2 linked regions of the Ovis aries genome follow. The protein of the gene in region 2 binds, or shares a complex with, the protein of the main gene of each other region. Links are inferred from orthologs where the notes say so. Each region holds a gene or a part of one and is shown on either strand. Other genes may lie near its edges.

Region 1 (3,967 bases), on a different chromosome or scaffold from region 2:
ATTGCCCCCCTCCCCCCTCCCAGGGAGTGTCTGGGCCGAGCCCAGAACCCCTCCTCGACACCCCCAAACCTCTTTATCCAGGCCACTCCCAAGGCCCAGTCTCTCCCCACCTTACCAGCCCCCTCCTCACCCGTTGAACCTGTGTCTGTATGGGACAGTGCACCATCCGACCTAGGACTTGATCCTTTGAGTCCAGCTTGATGCAGGCCAGGCATTTCCGCTTTCTCTGGGGAGCGGGTGTGGAGGCCAGAGAGGAAAGGGGTGAAGGGAGGCGTGCAGCCCTGTGAGGGCGGAACCTAGGGCCAGCCTGCAGTGGGGCCTGTTCCTTTGGCAGGCCAGCTGGGTCCAGGCGCAGCCTAGCTCTGGCCTGGGAATTTTCAAGTCGGAACTATCCTGCAGTTTTCAAACTGTGTGTGTGTGTGTGTCTGTGTGTATGTGTCTGTCTGTAGGCGGCACTTAGTTTTCAAACTGTGTGTATGTCTGTGTGTCTGGCTGTGTCTGACACAGGCAGGTTCTCCCCACCTGGCTTCCACTGCGCTGCCATCTGTTACATTTATCTGTATGTTCTGTTTTCTTGCAAGATTTGAATTGAACACAGGGATCCCGGTGTATAAGTCCAGAAAAGCACTAGTCTGATCCAGCACTCCTCAGCAGAGGGAGGTGACTGAAGCCTTGACGAGCCAGCGCAGGAACAGGACTGGGGGTTGGCAGAAGTGGTTGTGTTCCGAGCCCAGGGATCACCCCCATGGCAGTGACTTGGCCCCGAAGGTGGCTGACAATAGTCAAGCCCTCTTAGGAGTCAGCCCAGGCCGAGCCATCGTCCCCTTGAAAACTCATGAGAAATGGGAAGTTCACTAGGCCTAAGGTGGGGACCACGGCGTCCTTCCGCCAGTGACCTGCAGCCTGGGTGGACCAGCTCTGGAACCTGTGTGTCCATCTCCCTGCCTGTTGCGGCCCCCTCAGCCCAGCCACAGCCATCACCGCCACGGGTGCAGGCAGGCAGGCCGGTCAGAGCCAGGGAGGCTGCCCCGCCCCAGGGTCTCCAACCTCAGGATTCTCCAACTGTGAAGTCCACTGCCCACTCCTGCGCCCACTCCTGCCCTGAGCACGCACCCTGCCATCAGCTCACCCCATTGGGCTTGACCTTGCAGTCTGCTTTCCTCCAGTCCTTCTTCCGACAGCTCGTCTGCTGGAGCTTGAACTCCAGCCTCACAAACTGCCCGGCCGGGAAGAGCTGCCAACAGACGAGAGAGGCCCGCGGCCCAGCTGAGCAGGTGCCGGTGTGACCTGTCCCTGCTTCCCAGCAGTACACCCTGGGGCAGGGGCAGGCGGCTGGGCCAGCGGAGAGCTGGGCGGCTTGCTGGGGCCCAAGCATCGGGGCACCTGCTCTCGGTGGGGGGCACATTCTGGTCTCCTGATCCCCATCCCGCCCTCCCCTCGCTGGGCTGGCGCTTACCGTGTCCGAGGCATTGTCTACGCTGGTCACCTGGAAGGCCCACTGCACAGGCGGATGCTTGTGGAACTCCTCCAGGGCCACCTGCAGGCCCCGGTGCTGGGCTGCCGTGAGCTCTGCCCTGCCCAAGCCCATGGAGCCCAGCCCCAGGGCCAGTGGGAGCAGCAGCTGCCACATGGCTTCACCTCTGTCTCCCGGACCCTGCAGAGGACTGTGCGTCGGTCTGGAGGAGGAGCCACCGGCTCCTGGGCCCCGTGTTTCGGGGCCGCGTCTGGTGGGCTCTGGGCAGAGGTGGGGGGACGCGGATTGGCCCTGCAGACCCCGTCCCCACCCCACTGTGTTCCCCTGACCCATCCCTCTCCTCCCATCCGGCCCCACTGTTCCCAAGGCCGGCCCAGGTTGGCCCTATCCGAGGTAGGTGCTGGGTCCGCTCCAGTCCTTGGGCCAAAAGCTGGGGAGCAGGGCCTGCTCCAGCTCTCTCTACGGGCCTCCCCCATCTTCACCATCCGGGGCCCAAAACGGGGTTGTGGGGGAGGAATGGAGGCTGAATATTTTGGGGAGGACATAAACATGTGGGAGGGGCCCAGGGCGGGTGGGCTTTAGGAGCCCACTTAACCCTCGCTGTGCTGAAAGAGCCCGTTGCCATGGCCCCACCACCTCCGCACTTCCCCCAGAAAATGGGGGTCCCTCCTCCACCCCGCCTCCTCTGTCTTCTTAGGCAGTCTCCCTCCCTTGCCTTGTTCTTTTCTGGAGCCTTCCTCTCCCAGCCCGCCAACCCCGCACCTCAATCCGCGAGACTGGGATGGGGGGCGCCTGAGGGCCGGACTTCCCCGAGAACTCTGCCCGAGAGCAGCCTCCCGAGGACCAGAAAGCCCCAGGTGTGGAGACCCAGGCCCCGCCGGGCAAAGGTGCCAAGCCGTCGCCTCGAAGACAGGACAGGGCTCGCGGAGCAGCCGACAAACGCCGGCCTCCGGAGCTGCGCCCTTTACCCGCCCCGCGCTCCCTCCCTACTCCTCTCCCGCGCCTCGGGGTCTCCCCCCCCCTCCCCTACTCTCCCTCGGGGTCTCCCCCCTCCCCTCCTCCCCTGCACCTTGGGGTCTCCCCCCTCCCCTCCTCTCCCTCTGGGTCTCCCCCGCTCCCCTCCTCTCCCGCGCCTCGGGGTCTCCCCGCCTCGGGGTCTCCCCGCCTCCCCTCCTCTCCCTCTGGGTCTCCCCCCTCCCCTCCTCTCCCTCTGGGTCTCCCCCCTCCCCTCCTCTCCCGCGCCTCGGGGTCTCCCCTCCTCACCTCCTCTCCCGCGCCTCGGGGTCTCCCCTGCGGTCCCGGCCTCTTCCCGGCACCCGTCAGGCTGCCCCCGCGGCGCGCCCGTCTCCTCCCACCTCCTCCTGGGCCCCCTCCAGCGCCCCGCGGCTCCTCCCCGCCCGCCCGCCCGCCGGGACCGGCCTTGGCCGACGGCCCTCCCGGGATTCCCCTCCTCATCCCCGCCCTGCGCTGTCCGGCCCTGCCCTCCCGTCCCCTCCCGCTGGCCCAGCGGGCCGCCCCAGCCCGGGCGCTGCCCTGCCCCCAGGAACAGGGCGACCCCTTCCCCTCAGGCCCCTCCAGGCAGTCCCCAAGACACTCACTCCAGAAAATTCTTCCCAGAAATCCAGACTTCCTCAAACCCCAGGAGACCTCGACGAGTCATTTGAACCGTCCCCCTGCACCTTGGAAACACACTGAAAAGGAGGGTGTCTCCAACACCAGCAAACACATCAGGCGTGAAGGATCACGTCCTGTCTGTGGTGGCAATGGGCTCCCAGGGTCTCCCGTGTGGGTGAAGGGCGGCATGGTGGGGTTCCGAAGGCTGCTGGGGGGTCAGGGGAAAACAAGGGCTCAGCTCCTGCTGCTGCTGAGCAAATAAGAACAAGCCCTGGGACTTGGTGTGTCAGCCACCAGACACGCTGCTACCTAAGTCCCAGGCCCTCTGCCCCTTGCCTGTTGCCCACGGAGAGAGAGTGACAGCCGCTCAGTCGTGAGCAACTCTTTGCGACCCCATGGACTACACAGTTCATGGAATTCTCCAGGCCTAATACTGGAGCCGTTTCCTTCTCCAGGGGATCTTCCCAACCCAGGGATCGAACCAGGGTCTCCTGCATTGCAGGCGGATTCTTTACCAGCTGAGCCACCAGGGAAGCCCTCAGGAAGATGACCTGGTTTAACCACCAGGACCCCTGAACCTTCTGCTCCCTTCTCTGTGGTGTGGGGGCCAGAGGCCCTCCCGCTAGGGGGTTGTTTGGAGGATTAAACAGGGAGATGTATGGAGAGGGATGGATGACCCTGTGTTTGGTCCCCTTCCCAGGCACCCCTGGCAGGATTCTCCACGTGGAGCCCAGAGCTTCCTTTGCAATGTGCCCTGGGGGTGCCAGAAAGATCCTCGCCTTCAATTAGCCAGTTCTGGGGGCTGAAATCCCACCTTGGACATTTCAGTCCCATCTGCGAGTTGTCAACAATCACTAAGCAGAGATGAGAGCTGGGGTC
Region 2 (4,201 bases):
TGCGGTGGCTCACTGACTCACTGTGGAAGAGGACCAGGCTCCACTCACAAATGCCTGACTTATAACAAATGTCTGTTTGCTTTGAGCCATTGTACGCATTGGGTCTATTTGTTACTGCAACTGTGACCCTGACTAATACAACATTCAACCTCCTTTTTTTCAAATAAGAAGCTTAGGGCCAGAGAACGGGCGTACCTTGCCTAAGGTCACGTAGCAAATTCAACAGTGGTTAAAAACGATGGTGTTTTAACAATCGGGAGTAGATTTTCTAGTTTTCAACCTGCCCCCCAGAGCCATGAAGGTTCCTAAAGGCCCTTCAGCAGTGACAGTGAGGTTCAATGAGCTGCCGTCTGGAGTCCTCCACTAGAATAACGTCACTTTTATCTGTCTTTAAAGTGCACTTCTCCATGTAATTTCATCGGAGGAAGGCGTTCTGTGGCTTAAAATAATGTCGAAGCCCGCAGGCTGGATGACTGCTAATGTGATCTGACTTTCTGTGGTGTGAGACTGAGTTTCATTTCTTCTCCACCATTGCCTCCTGGCTTTTCCTGCTGACACAGGAGATGCAGACTCGCAGAAGTGCATAGATATTTGCTTAGGAATGAAAAAAAGCAGCTCAGTGTGCGTGCAGCAAAGAACCCAGCAAAGAACCTGGGCAAAGGGGATGATCAAGGATTCCAGCTCGGTGGTTCTCAAGATTGTCAGGGGTGCTGGTTCAAAATGCAGACTCCCACACTCCATCCTCAGGGATTCTAACTCAAAAAAACTGATGCTCATGGTGCCAGGATGGCCCTTTGAGAAGTCCTGAGTCTAATTCAACTCAGTCTAAATCAACAGCAAGAACCACAGGGAAGATTGATCTTGAAGAGGAGGTCGGGGGTGGCAAAAAGGAAGCTGGGAGCCGGGCACTTGAACAGAGAGAGAAGACAGACCTGAGACTCGTCCACTTGTTCTCTAGCCTCTCTGAACTACATAGGTCTGAGTGATCAGACTGACAGCAAGGAGCAGGTACTTGAGTATAATGATGTGCTATTTGCCTGTAATTTTGCCAAGTGCTGGTCCAAATGGCTCACCTACTTAAAACATGCTCATTTGAAAGCAGAGGGGGGACTGGAATTTTCAATAGCTAGCACTGGCAAAGGATTCACATCCTTCATATATAAAGAACTCCTAAACATCAATGAGAAAAAAGACAAACATGCCAGCAAGAAAAAAAAAAAAATGGGGATTGACTTGAACAGGATAGTCACAAAAGTGAATAACAGGATTGTAGAGGATATTCAGCATGAAGGAACAAATGAAAACTCAAGCAGCCAGATGCTATTCTCACCTTTCCCATCAGGGAAATTTTAGGAGACAGGTGACAACCAGTGTAGATGAGGCTGTGAGAATATCACACCCCAATATTGGGCCAGGAGAGTGCAAGCCAGCTCAACCTTCTAGGGCAATGCGGCTAAAAGCCTCGAAAGCCTTAAAAACACACAAACCTTGGAGCCAGCAATTTCACCTTGGGAAAGTTGTCCACAGGACACGCAGGCAAAGATGATGTATTAGGAGTGGCCGCTGCAGCTCTGTTTATAATAATGAAAAAAAAAAAAAGGAGGCAACCACATGGAGGGATGATTAATAAATCCCAAGCCATCTTCTCCATGCAGCCTTTAAAATGCATATTGGAGGAAAGTAGATAATACAGATGAAGGTTCATGATCCCTGGTTAAGGACAAGGTAGGGTACCAAACATGGGCTTCCCTGATGGCACAGACCGTAAAGAATCTGCCTGTAATGCAGGAGACCCAAGTTTGGTCCCTGGGTTGGGAAGACCCCCTGGAGAATGGAATGGCTACCCACTCCAGTATTCTCGCCTGGAGAATTCCTTGGACTGAGGAGACTGGGGGGCTATGGTCCATGGGATCACAAAGAGTAGGACTGGGAGACTAACACTTTCACTATAGGGTACCACACAAGCTGTCAGAAAAGGGTGTGTGTGTCCACATTTAGATGCTCCTATGCGGTGGTACATTGTAGGCACTCCACAAACATCACAGGTTGGTCAGTGAGTCAGTGAGTGACACAGAGAGGCACCTGAAGGTTCACCTCTGGGTTAAGAACCCCTCTTTCTTCTCTGTAGCTGAGAGGTAGGACATTCCAGCAGCTAAAAAGGTGGGTTATACAGACTTTCAGCTCCGCACCCCACTACCCGACTCCACAGCGTTGAGCTGGTGCCTTCCCCAATCTGAATCTCAGTTTCTTCACCTGTAAGACATGCACGATGAAAGTACCTCCCTTGTAGGCTTGCCGGGAGCATTAACAGAAAAGAAACATAGAGTTCGCTGCCTTTTATAACTATGGTGACCTCGCTGGCTTTTTCCAATTGGCATGCATCACTTTGGAAATCTGAAAATCATAATATAGCTATTTCCATTTTGACAAAAATTACATTTTACCAAGAGCCAAAGAGCTTCTCTATTACTGTTTCCCACACCCCCCACCCCTGCAACCCGACTCCTCTGGGCAATCAATGTCAGAGCCAAGCTTGATACCTTTGTGGCTGGTCTTGCCCAGGTCTTCTCTGACTTCAGGTCACTCGAGGTTGTGCAGGAGACGCGTGATCCCCAACTTCTTCCTCGAAGTCACACTGTTCTTTGCCTGGGGCCGTTTGCCCAAAAAAGCAGTTCACCCCCTCATTCATGGGCCCCCCAGAGACCCCAGAGCACAGCACCCCCGGAACATCCTCATCCCCCGGAGGCTCCCAGGGAGACCCCCGGTTTGTCCTGCCCTCTTTGCTCACTGGGGGCTGAATGGGACAGGACTCTGCCAGAGAAACAGCTGGAGGGAGGAGAGAGGGAGGGGCAGGAAACGGGGCTGACCGAGGGCGGGGGCGGCCAGCTGCACGGAGTGGGGGCCTTCTGGGGAGGCTGCCTGTGGCGGGCAGGCGGGCGGCGGCTGGTGGCGAGGTCTGCCCGGGACGACCCACCCCTCTGGGAGCTGGGAGCGGTGCCCACCGTCTGAGCACAAACTAGGAGCACATGCAGGCCCCGGGGCAGCTGTGGGAAGCGCGTCTGCTCCCAGCAAGAGCCTCCGGAGCTCCAGACAGACTACGCAGGAGCGTAGCTGCCTGACGTCCCACTGCCCGTCACCCCCACCCCAGGCCTTTGTGCATGCGACTCCTTCCACCTGGATGCCCTTCCTGCTTCCTGCCCCTATTCGTGGCCTCACGACCTTCTGTTTCCTTTTTTTTTCTTTTTTTTTTTTTGGGTAAATTAAAATAGCAATGAGGTTTTTTGCAGTATCTAATGAACAAAAATTTAAATGTCCTGTAATATTGGATTTTAGCAAATGTTGTTGTAGTGGTTGACTTGCTAAGTTGGGTCCAACTGTTTGCAACCCCATGGACTGTAGCTCGCCAGGCTGCTCTGTCCTTGGAATTTTCCAGGCGAGAATACAGGAGTGGGTTGCCATTTCCTCCTCCAGCAGATCTTCCTGACCCAGGGATCAAACCAGCATCTCCTGCCTCAGCAGGCGGATTCTTTACCACTAAGTCACCAGGGGAAGTCCTTTAGCAAATGTTCAGTTCAGTTCAGTTGCTCAGTTGTGTCTGACTCTTTGCGACCCCATGAATCGCAGCATGCCAGGCCTCCTTGTCCAACACCAACTCCTGGAGTTCAAACTCATGTCCATCGAGTTGGTGATGCCATCCAGCCATCTCATCCTCGGTCGTCCCCTTCTCCTCCTGCCCCTAATCCCTCCCAGCATTAGTCTTTTCCAGTGAGTCAACTCTTCGCATGAGGTGGCCAAAGTATTGGAGTTTCAGCTTTAGCATCAGTCCTTCCAAAGAAATCCCAGGACTGATCTTCTTTAGGATGGACTGGTTGGATCTCCTTGCAGTCCAAGGGACTCTCAAGAGTCTTCTCCAACACCACAGTTCAAAAGCATCAATTCTTCAGCGCTCAGCTTTCTTCACAGTCCAACTTTCACATCCATACATGACCATTGGAAAAACCATAGCCTTGACTAGATGGACCTTTGTAGGCAAAGTGATGTCTCTGCTTTTTAATATGCTGTCTAGGTTGGTCATAACTTTCCTTCCAAGGAGTAAACGTCTTTTAATTTCATGGCTGCAATCACCATCTGCAGTGATTTTGGAGCCCCCAAAAATAAAGTCAGCCACTCTTTCCACTGTTTCCCCATCCATTTCCCATGA

What was found.
Region 1: the proteins of CMKLR1 (region 2) and RARRES2 are in contact, whole or in part, in a cryo-EM structure (PDB 8ZJG), measured with the Homo sapiens proteins. The link is inferred for Ovis aries from reciprocal best matches to the Homo sapiens genes CMKLR1 and RARRES2. Residues at the interface, in NP_001135815.1 of Homo sapiens: Asp20, Tyr21, Leu22, Asp23, Ser24, Ile25, Val26, Val27, Leu28, Phe88, Leu92, His95, Tyr103, His104, Asn116, Leu119, Ile120, Met123, Arg178, Leu183, His184, Gly185, Lys186, Ser188, Cys189, Phe190, Asn191, Trp203, Thr205, His217; in NP_002880.1 of Homo sapiens: Leu34, Phe37, His38, Phe60, Thr75, Ser76, Cys77, Arg96, Leu111, Gly112, Arg113, Leu114, Val115, His116, Cys117, Pro118, Ile119, Thr133, Leu136, Arg137, Gln139, Arg140, His146, Ser147, Phe148, Tyr149, Phe150, Pro151, Gly152, Gln153.

The regions. Positions count from the first base shown.
Region 1 is NC_056057.1:113,909,621-113,913,587, forward strand, and holds the start of RARRES2 (retinoic acid receptor responder protein 2), read right to left. Parts: upstream 2,801-3,967; 5' UTR 2,738-2,800; intron 2,492-2,737; exon of another isoform or gene 2,237-2,491; intron 1,735-2,236; 5' UTR 1,631-1,734; coding exon 1,457-1,630; intron 1,235-1,456; coding exon 1,130-1,234; intron 227-1,129; coding exon 116-226; intron 1-115. UniProt on the Homo sapiens protein: Adipocyte-secreted protein (adipokine) that regulates adipogenesis, metabolism and inflammation through activation of the chemokine-like receptor 1 (CMKLR1). Also acts as a ligand for CMKLR2.
Region 2 is NC_056070.1:64,708,581-64,712,781, reverse strand, and holds the start of CMKLR1 (chemerin-like receptor 1), read right to left. Parts: upstream 2,801-4,201; 5' UTR 2,541-2,800; intron 2,395-2,540; exon of another isoform or gene 2,260-2,394; intron 1,572-2,259; exon of another isoform or gene 1,488-1,571; intron 1-1,487. UniProt on the Homo sapiens protein: Receptor for the chemoattractant adipokine chemerin/RARRES2 and for the omega-3 fatty acid derived molecule resolvin E1.